4 linked regions of the Drosophila melanogaster genome follow. The protein of the gene in region 3 interacts with the protein of the main gene of each other region in a pairwise test. Each region holds a gene or a part of one and is shown on either strand. Other genes may lie near its edges.

Region 1 (3,540 bases), on a different chromosome or scaffold from region 3:
GACCACCGCGCCTCACAAGGTCAGCGATCGGATCACGGGTTTGGTTTAACACCCTGCCACCCACTTCAGTTAACGAACGGGAAACTACCATAAACAGGGCCACTATGCCCGCAACTCCGATGGCCGTGTGAACCATTTCCATATCTTGGGCAAAGGAGCAGGATCTTCTGGAGGATCAGGAGGGTCGATGTCGGATTTTTCGATCGACCACGATGACAAATAATTCTAGGGCTACTCTCCAGCCATCGCCGAGATGGTATTATAGGTCGAACGGGCCAAGTTTCGGATACTTCGCGAAATTTCATTTATCAGGTAGTTAATGTCATCCGAACTGACCACCTGCTCCTGGTCGACATGGTGCTCCGGCGTTGAATCGTTTACAATCAAGACTATTTTACGAACGGGCTGAATCATGCCGGATACATCGATCACGGGCTCCGACACATGGTGATCAACCAGAAATGCCTGATGCATGATGATCACCAATTGGCGGATTACTGGCACCACGCGATCGAGGACGTTGATTGCCATTGGGGCCAGTACGTGGTGTACCACGTGATCCACAGACGAGGACATGACCAAGAGACTTGAATTTTGAATTTAGAAAACTATTTTCACACAATTTGCGACCTGATAAACTAAAATTCCCAGGAGTTCTAATTTGAAATCTAAGCCATTTCGATTGGAATATTTATATTATTTCCCCAGCAATATTCAACAGTTTGGTGACGATGAATCAATTTTATTATTTCTCTACATAGATGTGTGCGAGGCTAATTGGTGTGCAGTTTCAAAGTTCAACTATATTTGTTCCCGCCGTTATTCTTGCATTTTATACAGGTACTCGTCTCGTCAATAGCTGCTATAGCAACGACTGTGCCAGCCACCGGGGGTGTATCCTTTGTAAATGTCGAAGTTGCACGGACATACTGCGCATCTCGGATAGGGGCCAATGTAGAAAGGGTTTATGGCCGGAGTCCAAGGACGACTTAAGTAAACCATTTTCAGCACTCGAAAGAAGTCTGCAAATCTTATTTTATAAATACATCTCCCACATTTTCTCTTTCGAAACTCACCGGAAATGGAAGAGAAAAATGAGAAATTTAAACAAATGTTTGACCAGAACAACACGTTTCGTGCTTGAAATTTGAATGAAGAAAATGCGTATGTACGCTTATGTGTTATTTTGTTGACATTTAAATCAAGAATGCTGGTTTAAATTTATTTGACTTCATTTTAGATAGATCATAAGAAAATGAATTAATTTTATCTGTATTTTTTATCCACAGTTATTTTGTGCTAAAATAGAAAAGAGCTGGTAATTTGAGGTTAATATATATTATTATTGTTTTTATTATTTATAGATATTCATTTTATTTATTTATTATTATTATTAATTTTTTTGAAATATAATGTTACAATATGACGGTTCGATGCCCAGGAGATGATGAGCTAAATGGGTTTAGCTCAAGATGTTTGAAGATATTAGCAACACACAACAAGGTTGTGTGTTCAGCACATCTCCAAAGGACTCCTGGTTCATTTTTGCAGCTTTGCCTTTTTCCCCACTACTTCTGTTCCCGGAGCTTCGGTTCTTTTTGGGCTTTCTGGTCCAGTGGTTGCTTCGCCGCGTCCTTGTTGGATTGTGGGGCGGGATTGCATCGGGGTAGTTGGGACTCCGGGCAAACTCCGCACTCCGGAACCGTGCAGTGGCCCTCCTCCAAGCAATCGGGGTCACAGCAGGGCGGATCGGGTCCAATGTAGCCCGGATTAAATATGCAAGGCATGCTGCAGCACCTCCACTGAAAACGAAGGTCGAGGCAGATGGCAGTGGCAAATTGGGTCCCACTTTATAGATTTTGTGAATTTACATAGATGCTAACTGGGTGCAATTTTCGGGCCGAGTGAGGCTCATAAATGTTCTCATTTCCATGGGTATTGAAACACAATGGAACGGGTAACTAGATGCCCGAGTTGCGCAAATCTCTAAACAAAGCTAGTTAATTTCGTACTAGAATCGATGCGAATAGCTCCCACATTGAACTCTATCTCCCAAAATCCGAATCAAAGTCCAATCGCCCTTAAAATCACCGGTTAGTGCGTGCAGAACGCTTATAATTATTTCATAATCGGGCAACACTTCAGTTTTATGGTGACAAAAGCCAGCGGAAAGATAACTGCAACTGCAGGCCATCGAAACTGGGCCACAAATGGCTGCAGGCACAAATATGGAATTTAAGTTGAAATTAATGAATAATTAAGCTGCTTTGGGCAGACGCTCGCAGCGGAAGTACAGCATTTGCATAGCTAACACAATGAACTACATACGGCCGGACAAGACTTGGCCGTTCATAAATTAGATATGCAAATGTAAATGCGAATGGAAAACTAACGGCAATTCCTTTGTCAATTAATCAATCAATCAACGCAGCCGCTCGCTGCGATCCAGAAAGCGATGCGGAAATCACTTGTCCCACATATGTACCTCTGCCCCCGCCCAGAAACTCCATCCATCGCCATTTCCCCCTGGCCACTGCATCTAGCTGCATCTGGCTGCATCTCCATTCATCTACATCACGCATGCCAATTTGCCTCAGCACGGTTTTTGATTGCCCGCTAAGTTCGGAGCGTTGTGAGCCCCCATCGATGCTTATCCCCCGGTTTTAAGGCGATGGCAGAGTCATTAGCATCAAAGGGCCATGGTGATATGACCAGCGCTCCTGGCAGCTCATCTGCACTGTGGTCTTTGCAGTGACCCAAAGAGTTTGAACCGAAGTGCTTTGACTTGGGTTAATTTGTGGGCTTTCAGCTTGGAAAGTATAAAAGTTTCACATGCATTGTTCAAGCACACAAAATACCGACAAAAAGACCGAAAAGGGTTTATTTTAATTAAATTGGATGTGATAAATCGAAAATAGTGATGTTTATGATTGAGGTAGATAGCATAATTTTAGTCAACACTTTAAGCTTATCATTATCATTAAAATATAAATAATTTTTCGGATTCGACCCACTGTGCAGCGTTGTCGGCTTTCAATGTCGCCGGCTGCAGCCATCAAAGTCGTGTGCACTATTTGTGTAATTTATATTCAAAGCGTAACGCGGTGCGTCGACTGCGTGTGTAGGTGGGTGGGGAAATGGGCGGTAAGTGGGTGTTGGGGCGGAGTGCTAGGGGGACGGTTCACTTGGTGGTTTTGGGACCGGTCACTCCGAGCAAACGGACTCTAGTGCCACTGAACTAAGTGCAGTCACGCGAACTGCTTTTAAGTGGCATAAGCAGAAGAACCCAATTCCTGCATAACCAATGAAGTTAAATATATTAGCTTACTCATTTTATTGCTCAGTTCTATAGACTAATAGTTTGAAACTAATGTGCAAAATCAATTAATTATTAAGAGATTCGAATGAGAAGCTCCTGTAACAACACATAACTCTCAGTGTAACCCTTAGATAGAACCCATCCACACTGCGACATTGTCTATCCGACTTCCGTTTGTCGGACGTAGTTCTATTACTTCTTGGATTCCGTTTCTGTTTTTA
Region 2 (6,489 bases), on a different chromosome or scaffold from region 3:
ATCCGCAACGACTGGCTAGATAAATTCTCTGTGGTCCCATCTCCTTCTGGATGCACTTAAAAACTTAATTAAAAATATTAAACACGAAATGTTTGGCGCCACCGTTTAGGAAACGCTCAAAAGTGGACCGCACACATCCACGGAGCGCCGAGTTATCAGCTCAATTATGCAAGCTGAAAGGCAGCCGCCGGGCCACAGACAGATTTGTCGCATTTGACACGATAATGCACACAAGGAGTGACCACACCAAAGTCTCTCCAACCGACTCGGCATCGGTTTCTGTTTCGGTTTCTTGGCCAGCTCCCACTTCGTTTTGGCCTGGCCAATGGCCATAAAAGGTGCGATAAAACGAAAATTTCACAAGACGGCAACAGCAGCAAGTGCACTGCAAGAAAAGTGCTTCGATTTTGAAATGATCAGATGAATGTTGAATTTTTCTTTCTTTAAATTTACTTTAAAAACCATTTCTATTAGCAATACCATAAGCCAAAACTTACTTAGTTGAATTGAAATGTGTGATACTTTTTTTTCTCCGTGCACCCACCTCTGCGTCATCTCTGTGTCCCAGGGATGCGGATGGAATCGCAGGGGAGCTGGGAGTCGGCAAAGACCAAACAGCCTGAAAGCCGTCAAATCGCTGCTCATAATGGACGCCTTATCTTTGGAGAATTGCTTTAACTACTACCGGAGTTGGATGTTTTTCAGATACGTGTGACTCGAGAACCGACTGGTCACCATAATGGAGAGCATTAATTTGTCTTAGGCCCGCCAAAGCGGTCGCATAACTGCTTTTGGCCCAGGCACTGCGATATGGCCAAAAACCTGTAAAAACGGAAACGCTGAAGGTTACCGTTGCTCCCCCCCCCCCCGCAAATAGTTTTGCATTTTCTACGGATTCGATGTCTGATTTGTTTATTTTGACCAAAGACTCTTAAAACGAATTAACAATGTATATGATTGCAGCTTGGTTCTTAAACGATCTTATATGTAGCATAGATTAGCTTACAAAGTATATGCACACGTTTCTCACTAATCACAACAGAAGATGACTCCAACTTAAGTATGTTTACCAAATATTTCTTTCAATAGGCCAAAATGGCTGAAATGCTGAAGCTATTTCTTTTCGTTGAGGTTGAAGGCCTTGGTGATGTTGTGGGTGTGCTGGAGCCAACGGGTTGCGAGGCCACAGGACTAACAGGCGCGACAGTTGGCGCATATGTGGCTGGTGGCATTGGCAGAATCTGCGGAGGAACTCCACCAAAATAGGCAGCTGCAATGCTGGGCGGCAATCCGGCAGCTCCACTGGGTCCATAGCTCAAGTGATGGCGGAGATACGGCGACATAGGATTGGCAACTGGATGAGTTGCTCCATAGTAAGCTGGCGAAACACTACCCGTTGAGTCCTGCTCAAAATCCTGGCGCTGGCGCTTCGCCTGCGGAGAATCGCAGCTGCTCACACTGGAGCCATCATCCTCCGACTCCAGCGTCGAGTTTCCGCTGCTGTTCAGCTTCCTTTTGCAGCGGGATTGACCCGACTCGCGGAAACCCTTAGCGAACGGATTGTTATCGATCTTCAATTTGGTGATGCGATCGTTCTGCAAGCATGAGAACAAATTTATAAATTAATTTAAGCACATAAATGATTAATTACTATCAGTTTTTATACAACAATGAATTCTTAAAACGAATTAGCTCTAAATGTATTACTTTTAACACTTGAATTTTCAATTAGATCGTAAAAAGGAACAATAAATAAATTTACGGCCTTATAAAAAAGATTTGCAGATTAAATAAATATGTAAAAAAACGCGTAGTTTTAAATCTAATTTAAATAGTATGAAAAACGATCTCTATTGTTTTTGTCTGGTCGAAATTTAAACTACGAGGCGTCAGTAAGTAGCCGTCGGCTGGGAGGGCACTTGAAAAGTTCCACTGTGATCCTCGTTAGGATCAAACTCAAGTGGCTGGCTAGGCGACAAATTTGAAAATGCCTCAATTAGGCGACGACCCCCGCAGAGTCTTTGTCCTGTCAGACATGTCCTCAATGGAGGACGGAAAGGATGTTGTCTTTAACCCACCTGATAGGCTGTGACAGCTACGAACTCCGTCTCCGGGAAAACGAACGCCTGCTGAGGAGCCCATGGAAGTTGGGTGAGCTCGCTGCTGCGGATGATGTGCAGGCGTGGCTGGTACTTATGCATGCTGGCCAAAACGATCTGGAAATGTTAATGGAAACTATAAGTAACCCATTCAAAAGATACACTATGAGCTCACTCAAACTTACATGTCCGCTGCTGTCCAGTGTATTGTTGGTCAGTTTGACCTTGTTGAAGAGCAATGCCTGGGATTGCCAATGGGCACCGGTCGCCGGACTGTCCGGATGCAGATACATGCGCTGCGGACTCTGGGGCTCGGCTCCTCCGGCCGGAACCCACTGGGAACCGGAGAACTTGTAGCGGCAATCGCCAATGGGCACCATCTCGAGGAGTACGCAATAGCTGGCCTCCTCCTCCAGTCCGCTGAGGGAAACTCGCATCGAGGGGAACATGCGTCTGTAAGGATGAAAAGAATAGGACTTGATTAAGTGGCCTGCCACGAACTGCATATAAATCAGGGAAGGAGCATCGCAAAAGAAGGCGTCGCCCGGGCATCTATTCTATTTTACTTCATATCGCCTGTGATTTGTTGCCCCGGCTAACAAGTGTGTAATTATGGACCGAAAAGTAGAGGGCAGCGGGGAGTCTGCGTAGCGCAACGCATCGATTTAAAAGGTAACGCAAACAGATCTTGCCAGCCCAAAACAATATGCCAACGGCACATGATTAATTGTGTGGATCGTTGGTTCATGGAGGAGCACGGGGAGCAACAGAGTGCTGGAGGAGCTGGGGCAATCTGGCGCCAAGCAATTAGACAAAATCTGGGAGTCGCCCTAACGGCTTCCAAGCGTCGAATGCATGTCTAATGAGCCGAGAAAGTGACTGTTATCGCGGATTAAACAGCACAGAAAAATAATATTTCTACTGGATATTAATCATTTTCAATAAAATATTACGAAATATATATATATATAACAAATATATATTTATGTTCAAGATCTCTTGATTTCTATGATGCCCAGCCATATTCTAAGCCTTGGCCAAAAATAATGCTTGTAGTTGCACGATTTCTTTCCGTGTACATTTGCAACTTAAACTTCGAGTTCAGATCATAATTATGTAAATTTGTCTCGGCTCCCGCTCGGTAGTCGCTGTTCGATAGTTCCCCTATCTGAGATACGCTAGGGTCTGGTCTCATCGCTTTGGAGAAGGGTCACGGACAGGGCATGGAATGGTATGGTATGGTATGGTATGGTGGTATTGTGGGCAAAGTGTGAAAAGCGCAGGTAGATCGACCAAACCCGATTGTCAACGCCGAAACCGAGAGAAGAAAGATTTTTATGATCGGACCGGCGCCAGGGCGGCGTCTTGCTCTTGTGTTCTCCTCCGCCGACTACACTGCACTTGTTGTCACTCCGAGCGAGAGCTCCTGCTGCGTTTTGAGTTATGGCCAGGCGCCACATTAGGCCCGGGAAATCGAAAGGTTCAGGGTATAGGCATACTCGTACTCGTATGAGATAGGAATTGGGAAAGTTGGCCCTGGTACAGGAGCAAATATTTACATAGGCCGTGCGACGCACTTGACTTTTGGAAAAACTCGGGCTATTTGCATAGGATAATGGGTTCGCGGGAAAATGAAACTTACCGGCCGCTCTTTGTGATGATCATCTCGGTGCCGATTTTATGGAACTGTTGCCACAAATCGTTGTTCTCCAACTTGGCCTCCACGCCGGGCAGGGTGGGACGACTGGGCAGCATCATGTGCGGCTGCTGGTGGGGCATGTTGAAAGGTAACATCGATGGAAAGGGATCTGGAAGAAGCGGTTTGGTTAGTTCATTAGCATGGGTTTGCAATGGACCTCTTCAGGGAGGTGGGTGTTGCAGAAATCATATTTCTAAGTTAGCTGGAATTTCGCTATCTATTGTATTTTATCGGAATATAATACCTATTAAGATATGTTCAATCAAAGATTGAAAATAAAGGCAATGCAGTTATGACCACAATTTCTAGTTATAATGATAAGTTAAATTGAAGTAGAATATTTATTGCTCATAAAATCCGAAGCACTAATAATAATCACAATATTAAAACACTTTTAAGTACGCTCTTTTGGGTTGCATATATTTTCTCATATTTTTTAGTTTGAAAATCGCGAAACCATTTGCCGACGGCATTCGATCAACACCCATAGACCTTATGTCTAGAAACGCACCTGGAATCCGCTGCATGATCTGCTGGCGGTAGATCTCGTGGGCCAGCTGCTGCTGCATCCGCATATCCATTAGCTCTTGCATGGAAAGCATTTCGAAGCACTTGCACGGTGTATAGCACTTGGTAAAATGTCTTAGTACGTTCTGATAATAACTGGTAGTTTGGAATTCTTCACTGTTATTCACTCGCTCGTAACTGAAGATGCGCTCTGAGGTTCTTTCACGCTCGACGTTTCGCAACGAACTGATCTCGAGTAGCTCCGCTCGAGTGCTAACTCGCCGTGGGTCGCAGCCAGTTTTTCCCGATGCCAAGCAGGTAGCAGCTACGCTTGGAAAACCGGTTCTCCGTGGGCAGCGCCTGTGATTGGCTGGCGGAAGACGCCTACGCTATGTGGGTACTAGTGTTGTCCCACTCTGGCGAAGATCGGTGGATCGACGGTGGGCGCCATTTTGTGAGCAGCGGAGGAGCGGGAAAAGCGAACTGCGTGCAGCCGAGTGGCGAAGTTAACGCTTAGCCCTGTTGATTTTCATCAGCCGCAGTGTTTTTCTGCGCCACTGCCTTCAAGCCGCATTCCCTGTCTCCCTCTCGATCACTGTCAGTTAGGAGACTTGGATATATGTATGCATGTATGTATATGGATGTGGATTTAGCCGGGCTATGGCGTTGCTTGTAATTCAGAAGTGAGATTTTCCACAGCGCGCCTGTCTGCTGTCTTCAGCTGCCGTTGCCTTTTCTTCTCCTCTCGGTTTATTCTTTTTTTTTCTTGTGTGTCTGTTTCGTTTTTATGTTTTTTTGTTGGTTTTGGCGCTGTCGGAAAATGTCCGTTGCCATTTCCATTGCAGCCGTCTTCCGTTTGGGCGCTGTCCCTCCGTCGTTTGCCATGCCCCCGTGTAATTAGCTGGGTTCCCTATCTTCGACATTGTCTGGCATTTCTCGGGTATTTATGTACTTTGCTGCAGACAGGTGAAACATAAATTTTGTTGGCTTTGTTAATTGCCCGTTTTGGAATTTCGATATGCTATGCCCTCGCTATTGATTTGCCCAAAAAAAAAAAAAACTGAGAAATGGAAAATCGAAATTCATATAGTTTTTGGGCTCTGGCTCGAGGGCCTATTGATTAGTGCTTGTCAGCATTGGAAATTGAGGGCTTAAGTGCCTGCGGGTGGAAGTAGATTGAAATGCACATTCCTATATTCACAGGAAGTATTATAATTGATACTTAGTGAGCCATTGATCATTTAAAACACATTGGACTGAAATACGTTAACGAATAGCTATATTATTCTAAAATATATTAAGACTTACTTACTTACTTAACTTAACTTATTCATCAACGCAAATTGAAAACATGCAATGATTTGTAATTTAAAGAAAAAGGAATAACTTAAATCCAATTTATTTGAAACACCATTTTTATAGAACTTAATTTTTAAATGGTTCTTTATCATTTCCCTTATTTCTTGTGGTCTGAACAAATTTTTGTATTTGGATAAAATAGAAACAATAACTCTGTGAAGATTTATTTGCGATTTTTAGTACTATTACTTTTACTTTAATTACTACTTTAATCAGTTGAACTAATTATAGAATTTGATTAGTTATCTATCGATTTTCTTTCAGGACAAGCTACATACAATTTGGTTCAAATGCCATTGATCTTGAACTTGATTCAACTCATAAGTGCATTCATCAGACAAATCTGTCGACAGACATGCGTTTATTTCCTTGACTCGTCGCCAGCAAATAATTTCAAGCTTGAGTTCGCATTCAGTGGACTAGAAAGAAAGTCAATGTCGAAGAGCCTCTATTAAATTAGCATTTCGCTGTCGCCCTGGCACGCTCTTCCGAGTAATGCCCATTCCCATGTCCCAGTCTCCACTGCAACTCCGGATCCGGACGAGACGGCATATCTCCGGTGCTTGGCCAGCTGATGATGATGACTGGAGATTTCTGGCAGCGAACGGCGCCAGAGAATCGTAAAATATTTTTATACAAATATCGCAGCAGTTAGAACAAAAGATTTGATTTGAAAATGTAACGCTTCACGCCTGCAAAAATACCGACAAAGAAATGTCACACAAAAGACAGTGGGATGCAAGCAGATCTCTGTTCAGATACACTAGGTGGACCTTCGGATAAATCAGGTGTAATTGCGTCATGCGGGTGCATGGTAAACTAGAT
Region 3 (5,731 bases):
TCGTTTCTTCGATCAGAATTGATTTCGGCCCGAAAATCGTCTTCTAGCACAACACGCACACTTATACGCGTTCTCGTCTCTTGTTTTTACTCACACAAGCAAGCAAATTATATTTTTAGATTTCTTACGCTCTCAGCGGGAGTGAGCCGAAAGAGAGTAATTTTGGCCGTCACCAAAAAAGTGGCTGCATAGTGCCAAACCAATGTATGGCCGTTACGCATCTTGTTATTCTAGTGTCTTTGGTTTGGCACTATGCAGCCACTTTTTTGGTGACGGCCAAAATTGCTCTCTGTCCGCTAGCTTACGCTGAGAGCGTAAGAAATCTTAAAATAGAACTTGCTTGCTTGAGTAAGTAAAAACAAGAGACGAGAACGCGTATATGTGTGCGTGTTGTTCTAGAAGACGATTTCGGGCCGAAATCAATTCTGACCGAAGAAACGAGTTTACATATTTGATGAAATTGCGCGCTGTTAAAAATATCAAATTGAAATATAACAAAAAAAAAAAAAAAAAAAAAAACTGGAACTGAAAAACAACTAAATCTAATGTGCATTTTAAATAACAAAAATTTTACATACATCATATTAAGTCAAATGACTTGAGAAATATACTAAATATATACGGAAATTATTATAACAACTTTAATTTAAAACATACATTTTCCAAAAAGAAGACATTACATTGAGAAATAAATATTTCATAAAAATAATACGAAGTAGAAAACAAAAATATATAAAAATAAAAAAAATATGTAAACTGTTTATTGCAAAAGTCATATCATAGACACTAGAATTATTCTAGTGTCTTTGCTTTGGTCATATCTTGAGCATGCAAAGGAATGGCTATTACAATATAATTTGATTAGTATGCTACGCAAACCTCTAGCATTTTGATAGGAAAAAGATTCGGACAAAGATTCGTTGTCAGTTTTTTGAAGAAGATGAAGAGGCGGATGGTGCAGTGGTCTGGCCATGTGAGGAAAGTTTATTTCCCACGGGCCCCTTTTTCCTATTTTTGATCCTAGCTTCAAAATCTTATATATCTTATGTCCATAGCGTAAGATAAGTTAAATTTTTCCACTTTTATATTACTTTTATATTATCGACTTTTGTTTTGTCTTGCATATAAGACCATACATCAGATGATTTTTGATCAGGTGAAAACCGAGAAACGAAAGTTTGTTTCTTAAGTGGAATCACCGCGAGTGGTTTTGGCCCTGCAGATTGTATTTCTGAAGTGCCAACTTGTGCCGGGAGTCCGGACTCAATGTTCCCTTGTGGTGGTAAACTAATCGGGACAGGTAGAATCACTGGTTAAGAAACCAGTGCAGACAATTCGGAATCTTTAGCAATCCCAGGGTGGGCTCCCTCCACAGCGGATTGATCGGATTGCTCCAAATCTTATTTAGCTGCCGATCTTAGCAACATATGCGGATTTTCTACGATTGACAGCTGATCAGTTGTGGAGTCAAAATAACATGTCAACCAGATATATTCGTATTCCTAATATTCCTGTAAATATCCTTGAATTGAACAGAAGAACAAATATATCGGTTTTACTTAAAAATTAGAATATCAAATTGATATGCATTGATCACGGTTTTACATTTAGATTTTAAAAGCTGACAGTACGTCCTAAAGGGGTTTACCACCACAGAGCAGTTGCTCGAAGGAGTTCTTTTCAATCGAATGTGCCCTGTGCAAGTGCCGCATTACGGTTCTACGGTACAATATTGGCATAAAACTTCCAAGTGGAAATAATCGATCAAACATTATCGATAGTGTTTCTATGTGTGGCCCAGCCAGATACACATATAAAAGGCAAATGTTTTAAGGCCAGAAATTCGAAAATGAAATCACTGAAGAATTCTGGTATATAATAGGCTGTATGCTATATTTGCATTATATCACATAATTTCTATTTATTTAATCTGGACGGAATTTGTTGTAATTTGTCTAAGATAAACCTTAAACGGAAATGGATACATTTGACGTTTCTGATAGGAACAGGTAATTTAAGATCAAGTGAAGATTAAACCAAAAACTATCAATTGTTTTAACATCAAAATGTGTTCTTAAAGCTGGTACTTTGGTCCCATGTCTAGACAGGATGCTACTGAAGTTTTGATGAACGAACGCGAGCGGGGAGTGTTTTTAGTCCGTGATAGTAACTCGATAGCAGGGGATTATGTACTTTGTGTAAGGTAAGTAAACAAAATTAATACATTCAGACTTTGATTGTGTACTTATCGTTTCATTTCTGTTAGCTAATTTTTATTTTAAAAATTAAACTAAAAATTGTGTATAGTGAGAAATACTTAATGTCAGCCTTTCTTAATCGCAGCTTACCATAAAGGTTTATATAGAAATTCCTGTTTCCATTTTAAGCATGTATACGTGTTTTATAGATGTACTTTAAACATTTATCTGTAATTTTTAAATATAAACAAATTTCTTACATTAAAAAAGGATATTCTTTTTAATAGACCTGGGTGAAAAAAGTAATAAGAAAGAGAAATCTAAAAATTTTTATCAATTTTGTGTGTTTCAGTTTTGGGAAACCTTAAAAATTGTGTTTGTTTTATTATTTCTTTCCCAGAAAATTTTTGAAATTTCTCTTTCCCATTCAACTAGCTGAGTAACGGGTTCTCTCTTGTTTTGTTTGATATTTAGATCCAATGGCAAGGGTCTATGGTCAATTTTGTATTTCTTTAATTTAGTATGGAATGTACCTTTAAGGACGATGATAAAATGTCAATGATGATCTCTCATAGCCATTGCAATTTAGTATGTTTTTAATATGTGCGCCATGTATTGACGGGGTAAATAAATTGAAGAATTTAACGACGTAAACAAAAATAATTACGAATTAAAGGAACTCAATTTCTACTGTATGTCTCGCCACGCGGCATTTATTAAAGAATTAGATGAATAAACGTCTCAAGAATATTCTTTTTGATTTTAAAAGTTCTTTATTAATATAAATGTATATACATTAGAATATTAAAAATAGGTTTTCATATTTAAACTTGAAACAAATTTTTGTTTAGTTTTTAAGGATTTTGCGCCTGTTATAAAAGAATTGTTTACTTATAAAGATTTTTATTATTTAGAGAAGATACAAAAGTTAGCAACTACATCATTAACAAAGTTCAACAACAGGATCAAATCGTTTACCGCATTGGGGATCAGTCTTTTGACAATCTACCGAAACTCTTAACTTTTTACACTCTTCATTATTTGGATACAACCCCTTTAAAACGGCCTGCGTGTAGAAGGGTGGAAAAAGTAATAGGAAAGTTCGATTTCGTTGGCAGCGTGAGCATTTACACAATTATTCATTTTTGTAAGTAATTTAATTTTCTTATTTATCAAAGGATCAAGATGATTTACCTTTTCAAAGAGGTGAAGTTTTAACAATAGTTCGAAAAGACGAGGATCAATGGTGGACTGCGCGTAACTCCTCGGGGAAAATTGGTCAAATACCGGTTCCCTATATACAACAGGTGCGTTAAGCAAATATTTGGATTTGTTATCCTTTTTTGTAACGGGTAACCCGTTTTTAATTTCTTTGTTTCCTTATAACGCTGATGTTAAAATACTACACTTGAAATGAATGGTGAATTCGGTAAAACCAGTCGCGTCAATTTTTATGGAATGCAAATAAAACTTTCGATACGGCGACACTAACGCTAGGATATTAATAATGTAAAATCAGAAAGAAACCCGAAAACTAGTGAGACGTATAAGGGTCAATAATGTCAAAGAGTCGCCAGAAGTAAATATGTAAAAATATATGTATGTATGTAAAAAATGTAAATTGAGCTCTTTTCCCCACGCCTATTTTATGACTAGCGGGTATCTGATAGCCGAGAAACTTGTTCAGAAATAATTATTGAGTTCATGTAATAATACCCTTAAATTGTTGCGATTAGATTCTTTAAAGTCTGACTACAATCTCAATACATTATAAAATCCATTACAAAAACCATTTGCATTGAATTAAACTGACAATGGACAAGCTCCATTGCCTTCAATATATTCGTCCGCTTAAATAGAGAAGGCCAAATTGCGAACGACCTTTGATAAATAAGTTTGTTAAAGGCATTGATTTTTAAAAGTTAAATCATTTTCAAATTTGTTCTTTTCAGTATGACGATTATATGGATGAAGATGCTATTGATAAAAACGAACCTTCCATTTCGGGATCTAGCAATGTATTTGAAAGTACTCTTAAAAGGACAGATTTAAATGTAAGTGTTCCAAAAAAGTATTTAAAAAAAAAATAATGTTTTACATTTTAATTTATCGAAGCGAAAACTACCTGCATACGCCCGCGTAAAACAGTCAAGGGTCCCTAACGCATACGATAAGACTGCATTAAAATTGGAAATAGGTGACATTATTAAAGTCACTAAAACAAACATTAATGGGCAATGGGAGGGAGAATTAAATGGAAAAAATGGTCATTTTCCCTTCACGCACGTTGAATTTGTCGATGATTGTGATTTAAGCAAAAACTCCACAGAAATATGCTAAATAGGAAGGAATGGAAGGAATTTCTTTTGATAATTTTGATTTTTGAGCTAATTGTATGATTAATAAGTTGTGCATACCAATTGTTAACATAATCAGAAAATTAAAATCTTATTAAGTAAAATAAAAATAAACGGGTACGAAGGACATAATAAAATTTTTACCGTTTTTTCGTATGATTCTTATACAAAAAAATTATGAATTTGAAAATCGATTTGGTTTTTTTTATGAATTGTGTAACTAAACGGTAGGTGCTACAGAAAACCCTTTGGGCCTTATATTTTTTATACCCGTTACTCGTAGAGTAAAAGGGAATACTACAATAGGTTCGTTGAAAAGTATGTAACAGGTGGAAGAAAGCGCTTCTGACCATATAAAGGCTGTTCAATATACAAAGACCCCAAAAGCCGGATACATCTCCGAGTAACGCCAGAACGCCAGAAGTTTTTTTATCACCCGCAAAGAGGTCCTTATTTGGCCCTTCGACCACCTTCCAAAATTTGATATTTCCAAACGTCCATAATTCGAGGCTAACAGAACCTACCTCTAAGGCACCAACTCTACAAGCTGCCCAAACTAATTTGACGTCGAATCCTTAATCACCGACGCATCACCAACGCAGTATTAAAACTATGACATATACTTTGCAGCATCATATGATTTCATTCATGTCGTTCGTGTGGATTATCACGCAAGACCTATCTTCCTGGAACGTTAAAATAATGTGTATCTTTAGATCAATAGTTAGTTAGTGCTTCTCCTGATACCACGTTCCGAGAGCACCTAGAGTACGCCCACAAAAAGGCCAGCGCTACTACTGGTTCTCTGCCGAGAATGCTTCTAAACACGAGAGGTCCTAAGCAAACCACTAGCTACCACGTTGATAACGGGCGACAAAGCATTTTTGGGCGGCTGAAGGGCGTTAGAGTGGCCGTGGCAAAAAGTTTTTTGGGAAATCGATAGAAAATTACAAGACTAATCAAAATATTTAAAGAATATCAACACACTTTTTCAAAAGTGCGGGCGTGGCAGTTTTGCGCGGTTTGTAGGCGTTAGAGTGGGCGTGGCAACATGGGTCAACGCTGCGCTGCGTCTTTTCTAGATTCTGTATGCTGAATCTCATCCTTCTAGCTTTTATAGTTCCTGTAATCGTGACGTTCATACGGACAGACGGACATGACCAGATCGTCTCGGCT
Region 4 (8,015 bases), on a different chromosome or scaffold from region 3:
ACAAATGTATCGCTAGCGATATAAGCTTGCTTGAAAGCTCGCTCCACTCGGATGGGTGGACCAGAATACACAACCGATCGCCAGTGCCGACGGGAGCACAATGTCAGGGTAATGGCTGGTGGGCAGTGGACAGTGAGTTTGAGTTATGGTTTGGATGGCCAGCCTTGGGAACTTTGGACGCGCCTTTCCTGGTGGCCCGATAAGGCCTGTTGGTCGCCGCTGGAGTGGCTGATAGTGCTGTACATTTCGCCGGCTAATCGGTATTCGTTTTGAATTCCTCGTTGAGATATTTTCCATCCGCACAAGTGCTTTTCCAGCTTATAAGTACTCCAGAGTGCCGTAATGTTAATCGACGTGTTTGCTGATTGGGCTAATTAGGCTAAGATTTGGTTGACATTGCTTTTTCTATAAGCTATTTACGGTCCCCCTAAGTGATGTCCAATTTTTGAAAGTCATTACGAAAGTTAAAAATATAAGAATCTTAAAAATACCCGTAGGGGTCTTTTACTTGATTTTAATACTTAATAATAATAATAATAATCATAACCTTTGTGTTGAAAATATGAATTTAATGCGAAGTAAAGTCTGCAAGCATTGTAAACCAGAGGTCGGAAACCTCTAAAGAGATAACATTCATTTGGGTTTAAGTAGTTTCTTTATTGTTATCATTATCTTTACATATACAAAATTGCAAAAATTATGCATTCATTGCGTTATGCCTATATCATTTTGTGAGAGAGTATGTTTGCTTACGATGTTTTTTGTTTTTTTTTTTTTTTTGATTAATGTATATTGTCTCTTCTATAGTCGAGTAAGTTATTGCATAGAATAAATAATGGGATTGGTAAGTAAATACAAGACTTTGGTAGTACATCAGAGTGAGGTGGCTCTTAAAGAGTTTTTCCATAAAAATATGATAACTAGTTCGTTTTGCATACGCGTACAATACTAAATTTAACTTAACTAAGGATTAAACGGTATTTGAACTGTAACATAAAGTGCTTTTGTGTTTCTGCTGAAATGATATATGTATACTCAGGCTGAGGTAGAGACAGCACGAAATTTAAAGATGCGGAGGGTCTGGAGACATTGTGGATAGTAGATAGGAGGTCCTGGCATAGGTTCGCTTTAAGTTAGTTCATTTGATATCGGCCAGAAACTTAAGTCCATATTATTTCACAGCTTACTGCTCGGCCATCATGCAAAACTTGTCGGCCATCAGGGTGAGCACCTTTTCCAGTTTGTTGTGCCGATCTTCGGCCTTGGCCGTTGCTCCGGAACTGCCCCATAGGAACTTGACATGGAACTCGGTTCTGTGAGGATATGGGAAACTTGAGGAAGACTCGAGAATAGTGTATTCTATCATATTACCGAAAAGCATCAGCTAGAAGCTCATCGAGCCGAGGACTAGCATCCTCCAGGATGATCTTGGCATTCTTTCGATACAGTTCCAAGTTCTTCAGGAAGCCACGCGATGCATCCAGGTGCTGGAAATTAATGGTCATGCCAAAGTCATCCGCTTTCGACTCCCAAGGAGCAATACAGGTGTGGTACAGAGCTGGGCGATCGTCAATGTTGGAGTGGTTTATGATGTCCATAACGGGTCGATCGATCAGTAGTGCATACAGCAGAACATGGGGAACGGTTGTGTTTGGAGCCTGTGGATTGGAGGCCTCGTTCATGATGCTCAACGTGGGTCGCAACTTGGCCTCGAAGGTGAAGGCGCTGTCCGTGTACTGTTGCCTCAGGATGTGCCAGGCCTGGTCGAGCTTTTGGATCTGAAAGAGGTGGTGGGACAATCGGTTATGATGTATCGCTCTAACAATGTAGCTTAATGGTTTGCAAACAAGTTGCCAAACTGCTAATTGCTCACGTGTGATTAACTGTGATAATAAAAAGATCATCTAAATCATCACTCGTTTGCTAAGCAAAAAACTGTGATGACCTAATGTACTTGTTTATACCTCTCGGCGTTAAACTAACTAAAAAGTAATTTGTTTTAGTGTACACTGCACCGAACGAGTATTCACCTGTTGCATGCACAGGCCCAACATGATGGCGCAGAATCCAAACAGATTGCCGAGAGCCGTCTTAGTTTCCACTGCGATCTGAATCCATTTACTGAGCAGTTGGGCTCGGTCCAGATCCGTTTGACAGGTGAGTATGGTCACAGCGACCATCAGCTTGATGCACTGCGTCCGCTCTATTATGTCCTCCCTAAAGACCTTTCCATGGGGCAGTGTTAGCAGCTCAAGACCCGAACAGCTCAGATAGTAGTCCTCCTCGTTCGACGGCTCCTCCAAAAACAGGGCAATGTCGATGCGAGTGATGTGCTCCGCCAGCAGCTTTGGGCCCGTCTCCAGAAGCATCATCTTGAACGTGTTGAGGGCATCGCCATCCAGGGGCTTGTTCTCCACAGATGGCAGTAGCAAAGTAACAAAGTTCTCAAAGTCAAACTTGCTTGCCTAAAAACGCAAATAAATGGTAAAATTAAGTTTTTAAAGCTAGCCTTTAACTTACTGTTTTAACTTCTTCTATGGCCATGGTGAATAGTTCTTCCTCAGCGGCCAGGACGTCGAACTCCGTGAAGCTCTTCAGCGTTCCGTTCGAGACCGAAGTGGTCATGAATCGGGGATTCTTGATTATCACACCCCGCTGTACGCTCGCCTCACATGCATCCCCTAGAGCCGAATCACCGGACCCGTTCCCCGAGTCGGATCCACTGGCCTGGTATGCCAGCACCGCTGCCATGGGTTCCTTGCGTGGCTTGGGCGGCGGACTGGGCGGCCGTGAGTCCGACGGCGAGTCCAGGCTGCAGTTTCTCGCCAGGCTCGAGATTCGGGCCACCGCTTGCTGGCGCAGAGCGTGCGCCGCCGAAGTGTTGGGTCTGGGCAGCGAGTGGGTTGTGAACTTGCTCTCCAGGTGCTGCTCACTGGTCGGATTGCACCTGGCGATTGTCTGGAAGCGCATTATTCCGTTGCCATTGCCATTCTCGAGCTCCTGCATCTGTAGTTGTTGCTCCTGAAGCTTGTTGATGTTGCTGACCAACATGGCCTGGGCCGGTGTGAGGCTCTGGGAGCGCTGTTGCTTCTTGCACGGCAGCCGCGGCGGTGGAGGCACCTCTCTACGCGCCCGCGGCGGCGAGCAGTGCGGACTGGCCGGTGAGCCAGCCATCGGCGAGAGCTGTTGCTGCTGCTGCTGCTGCGGTTCGAAGCGAAAGGTAGCGTTCATACCTGCTCCCACTGCACCATTGCTGCCCATCGGCGAGTTCAGAGGACTCAGACCTCGCAGACCGGCCAGCATCTGCGTGTGCAGTTGGTTGCCCACGATCTTGTGGCCGTAGAAGGAGAGCGGATAGGTGCGATTGCAGGGAAACTGAATGAGCGCTCCCGATGCTGACGAGATGGGCTTGCCGGATCCCACGTAGAAGGTAATTAGGTCGGGCACCGTATCGAAGGCATCCTCCTCAAACTGGTACTGCACACGTTCGTAAACCGTCTCCGGTTGAAGCACCAACTGCAATGCATAACCACATCAGATACTACTTGGTAAACTGGTACTCCAATGCCAAGAACAGTGCGAACCCACCTTATTAAGTACGAAGTGCAGTACAGCCGCTTTGCTCCGGCAACTGAGCACATAGTTGTCCGGCTGGGAGGCGCAGTCGCGGACCAGGAAGTCGCCTTCGCGCTGCACGATCTCCTCGGCCCGCTGGCGTGGCAGTGCGCCGTGGTACCAGGCGTGGGAACGCAGCTCCCTGGCGTCCAAACTCAGCTCCCACTCGAGCGCCTTCTTCAGGGCGATGGCCTCCTGTTGCTCGCTGGGACTGGGCTGGGCGGTGGCCAGCGGAGTGGTGGCATTGCTGCTCCCATAGCCCTCCATCCTGCTGTCTTCGATGGCCCAATGGGGACTGTTGCACTTGGAGCGCGGCCTCAGTTCCTCGTAGCTGTCAATGGAAAGACGAATGAGTGAGTAAATTTCCCTTATTTTGGGTAATTTTATAGTATCATAGGCCATTCCTCCCACAGGCGGCTTTGGGGAAATTTGCTCCCACAGGATTTGGTCCTTGGTATATGGACAACTCACTATATGTGTGAAGTTCAAGTGCAAAAAAAGAAGAAATCAAATTGCAGACCTAATGTTTTGCCATAATGAACTGAATGGAACTTCAAAAAACTTATATACCAACTAAAAGGATTTAGTTTTTTTAGGAAATCGACTTGCCTCTGTTATCACTCACCTGCTACGCCCATTTTGTAGTAGAAAATTTAGGACAGGACACACCCAAACCCAATTGTTCAGTAGTACGAAAGAACTCGATTCACCAGCTGCCTGAATAATACGATTTCTAAACAAAACTCTCCATTTGAAAATAGATAGACTTCACTAGCACAGAACTAGTCTCGAAAAAAAAAGGAGTGCAGTTTAAGGTCCTTCGTATTGTAGTAGTCTGAACTCCCTGCCGCTCGAATCTACTCTGAAAAGTTCACGGCAAAGGACTCGAGTGCGGTGCACTTTTGGGGGTTGGACACCGATTTCTGTGCACCACGCTACTCCGCGCAGTTTGTTTTGGGTTTTGTTGGAAAACTCTAAGGACGCCCGAAGTCACTTTTTTGGGAAATTCGCGGAGCATGCGCAGAGTCTATGTTATGATTGTCCATTGAGGGTAAAAAGAAATCTTGTGGATGTTGTGGAGGATGTTGAATATTTTAGTTTTAAAACTCCAACATGCCGGATGTGGTATACTTTTGCAACTATTATTAGCATAATATAATAGCATGGAAAATTTAAGAAGATTTTGAAGGGTTGAATTCTGAAATGCACACTTACATGGTGGAAGTCTCATCAAAGGTTAGTTGCTTCAGGACCTTGCCACTCTTGGTGGTAATCACGCCGGGTCCGCTATCGCCGCTTCCCGCCATATCTTGAGGATTCTCACCCAGATACACCAATGGACAGGAGTTCTTGCGCCGTGGCACTGCTCGCGGCGCACTGCTCATTGCTAGACAAGATACGAGTAGATAACTCAGTGGGGGGAACTACGTTTCACTGGCTTACCTTCCAGATTCATGGACTGCCTTCGCTTGGCACGAACACCCAGCAAACTGTTGACCATCCGCTGGCGATGGGCACCGCGCACGCCAAATTGCTTCAGCTCCTTGTCCGTGATGTCCACCACATCGTCCACGGTGCTGAACTCCTGTAGGTTTCCTGGTTAACATAACATACAGTCTCAATTGGGAACTGCTGATCATGCAAACCTTCGTACTGCTGCAGCTCCAGAAGGTCCAGCCACTCGCTTATGCTCATCCTAGAGTTGTGCACCATTACGGCCAAATCTTCGCGACGACGCACTGTGTTCGAGTACCGAAAGTTCCACAAAATGCCTACGAAGCGGTTACGAAATGTGTGATCATTATGATCAGAATCGGAAACCGTATTTTCGCCACTCACTGCTCCTCCGATTCGGCACTTGGCGGTTCTCCAGTTGTCGGGCTTGGGTGTTGCCCATGTTGCCCAGGCTATCTTTGCAAATCCAATGTGCAGATCTGAAAGATCTTTAAATTCTGGAGCAGTACCAAACACCTAAGCTGAAACTCAACCGCGCACTTCGCTTTGGGAAAAACAACTGAACGTGAGCAAATGTTGCCCAAACAGACTTCTTCAACTGAGCTGAAATTGCATATGTCATTCACCGACTGTTAAATACCCTAAAGGAATTACGCATATAATTATAAATCATATATGAACGTAAGATTGCAGCTAAAGTATGAGTAATATATATTTATTGTTTCTATTCTATTCTCTATTTAGTAATGTTCTTTAAATTCAGCTATAAATCGTTGTTATTTTTTTATAGTTTTCTATAATTTCAGCGGAGTCTTAAAGTAATTGAAAAAATGAACGAACTCAGCCAAAGAGACCGACAATGACAATAAAGCCCAAGTGAGTAAGATTTCAATGTCGTGCACCAACAATTTACCCTCACTGTTTTTCTAATTAGTGCTCTATATCCGCAGTGCCCCCTCCTCTCACTCCCCTGTCGCGATCCACCAACCGATCCGATCGTATTGGATAAACCCATTCGCACCCCCGCGCTTGACCAACTCACTCCAGTCGTATTTGCTCTGGCCATTCAGTCGCGTATCGTCTTTTATCGTTCACTTGATTAGAGAAGGTCTCCCCGTTGTCGCCGAGTTTCATATTCTGCTGATCGCAGCGGTATTTGCTTAATTAAAATTTCTGTTCTTGCCGCGTAGCATTGCGTATTTTTATAGCTTCATTCTATGGAATAGTGAATAATAAATTAATAATAAACCAAGCTGTGAATTCACAAGTTCATTTTACTAGAGAATTTATTTTAAATAGTTTACACATAAACGTTTAGATTATCTTACAGATTGAAATAATTTAAGTTCACTTTGTGCAGTATCTGTCTACTTTACATTACATTACAACTAGCAATGAAGGAATAAATACATCTACATGGCATTTTACACGTGTAAACGGAGCTATCTACATAGGCGGCTCTACTCCACCACATTGATTTCAATATTATCATCTTCGTCGGCCTGCTCGCTCAAATCCACACTGGAGCAGCTATCGGAACTGTAGTCGAGTGCCTCCTGGGGCGTACCATCACCGGATGGCGTGGATGTCTTGAAGACACCTCCGGATTCGGGTACTGCACTCGGCTGCTTCTCCTGGCCACTCTTCAGATTCTCGCGCGTGTGCCGCCACTTCATGCGACGGTTCTGGAACCACACCTTGACCTAATCAGGGTATAAAAATAATAATATATTGGTTTTTATAGAGCTATGAAAGGAGTCGAATGTGCAAATGTTAAACTATGAAAATCCCATCTTTTAACTAACCTGAGCGTCGGTGAGATTCAGTCGTGCCGCCAGCTTGCGGCGATCTGGCTTGGTGATGTACTTCTGCTGCTGGAACTGAATCTCCAGGCCCTTGCGCTGCAGATTCGAGAAGACGGCGCGAGACCAGGATCGCTTGCGCTTCCCATTGCTTCCGGCTGAGGCGTTGCCCTGGCCATTGCCACCTCCATGTCCATGTGCACCGTTCTGGGATGTGGCAGCGGCGGCGGCGGCGGGCGAGGTGGGCGCTATGTCCAGGAGCTGCTGCGGCGTCTTGCCCAGAAATCGCTGCTGCTGTTGCGTCAGCTGGAGGCTCGTGAGGCTGTGGAGCGGCGCCAGTAGCGCCGAGGCTGTCGTCGAGTTGTGTGGCGGGGGCTTGTGCTGCTGATGGAGGTGTTTGGGATGGTGCTGATGATGATGATGCTGCTGGTGCTGCTGCTTCTGATGTTGATGGAAGCGGAGGAGCGCATTGGTAGCCAGCGTGGGATAAGTGGGTGCGGCTGTTCGGGAATGGAATGTTAAAGTCAATTGGGAGATTCATACTTCCTTCATTAGCAATAACTCTTAATTTGTTGCTATACTGAATCCGGTGCGTTTTTTACGCACCAATTTGGATATTTATTTTTATAGGAAAACTACCATTAGTTATGGACAACATCCTCCCTTGGTAGCACATTGCATCCGCAGGAAATAATACATTTATCGCCGGCCAAAGAAATGATACTTGTTTCGCCAAAGAAAATATGAAATTCAATTTTTTGTGTTTTCTGAGTAAATTATTTTGATCAATAAAATGCATGTTGAGAATTTTTAAATGGGCTTGTTTATAATAAAATTTTCACTTAATTGGAAATTATCATTGAAGCGTTTTGTGGCTAGGGGGGGCAAACGAAATTTGTTTACTTCTAGCGCGAATCTAAACAACAACAATTACCTCTAGAGATCCAAAATTATTTGGGGTAATCGAACACGACATGGGGCACACGAGGTTGAGGTCGAACCAGGGTGCTTTACTTCCCTTAAATGTTTTTTAAATATCCAAGAATTTATACACGCAGTAAGAAACAATTCGAATGACGTTGACTTTCCTATTGTATTTCCAATCATTATTGGCATTTACTATCCTTTATCTAACTACTGAGT

What was found.
Region 1: the proteins of Crk (region 3) and CG42659 interact in a two-hybrid assay, tested with the Drosophila melanogaster proteins (one large-scale study listed by BioGRID).
Region 2: the proteins of Crk (region 3) and Doc1 interact in a two-hybrid assay, tested with the Drosophila melanogaster proteins (one large-scale study listed by BioGRID).
Region 4: the proteins of Crk (region 3) and CG9098 interact in a two-hybrid assay, tested with the Drosophila melanogaster proteins (one large-scale study listed by BioGRID).

Annotation. Positions count from the first base shown.
Region 1 is NT_033779.5:18,005,030-18,008,569, reverse strand, and holds CG42659 (uncharacterized protein), read right to left. Parts: upstream 1,211-3,540; 5' UTR 1,077-1,210; intron 1,023-1,076; 5' UTR 1,003-1,022; coding exon 853-1,002; 3' UTR 728-852; downstream 1-727. Other genes in the region: CG42635 (uncharacterized protein), read right to left, coding at 1-142; CG42634 (uncharacterized protein), read right to left, coding at 232-576; CG5693 (uncharacterized protein), read right to left, coding at 1,569-1,787.
Region 2 is NT_037436.4:9,039,451-9,045,939, reverse strand, and holds Doc1 (Dorsocross1), read right to left. Parts: upstream 4,566-6,489; 5' UTR 4,401-4,565; coding exon 4,310-4,400; intron 4,112-4,309; exon of another isoform or gene 4,043-4,111; intron 3,908-4,042; coding exon 3,742-3,907; intron 2,553-3,741; coding exon 2,285-2,552; intron 2,217-2,284; coding exon 2,079-2,216; intron 1,596-2,078; coding exon 1,083-1,595; 3' UTR 898-1,082; downstream 1-897.
Region 3 is NC_004353.4:208,478-214,208, forward strand, and holds Crk (Crk oncogene), read left to right. Parts: upstream 1-1,746; 5' UTR 1,747-1,885; exon of another isoform or gene 1,886-1,960; 5' UTR 1,961-1,977; coding exon 1,978-2,009; intron 2,010-2,080; coding exon 2,081-2,203; intron 2,204-3,112; coding exon 3,113-3,317; intron 3,318-3,376; coding exon 3,377-3,505; intron 3,506-3,637; coding exon of another isoform or gene 3,638-3,703; exon of another isoform or gene 3,704-3,797; intron 3,798-4,150; coding exon 4,151-4,252; intron 4,253-4,313; coding exon 4,314-4,538; 3' UTR 4,539-4,688; downstream 4,689-5,731. UniProt on the Drosophila melanogaster protein: Adapter protein which interacts with C-terminal portion of mbc, homolog of human DOCK180. May play a role in cellular processes throughout development.
Region 4 is NT_033779.5:6,006,725-6,014,739, forward strand, and holds CG9098 (uncharacterized protein), read right to left. Parts: upstream 5,615-8,015; 5' UTR 5,513-5,614; coding exon 5,455-5,512; intron 5,388-5,454; coding exon 5,262-5,387; intron 5,212-5,261; coding exon 5,059-5,211; intron 5,003-5,058; coding exon 4,831-5,002; intron 4,510-4,830; exon of another isoform or gene 4,241-4,509; intron 3,947-4,240; coding exon 3,589-3,946; intron 3,517-3,588; coding exon 2,521-3,516; intron 2,466-2,520; coding exon 2,031-2,465; intron 1,779-2,030; coding exon 1,372-1,778; intron 1,314-1,371; coding exon 1,184-1,313; 3' UTR 640-1,183; downstream 1-639. Other genes in the region: H2.0 (homeodomain protein 2.0), read right to left, coding at 6,531-6,773, 6,876-7,372.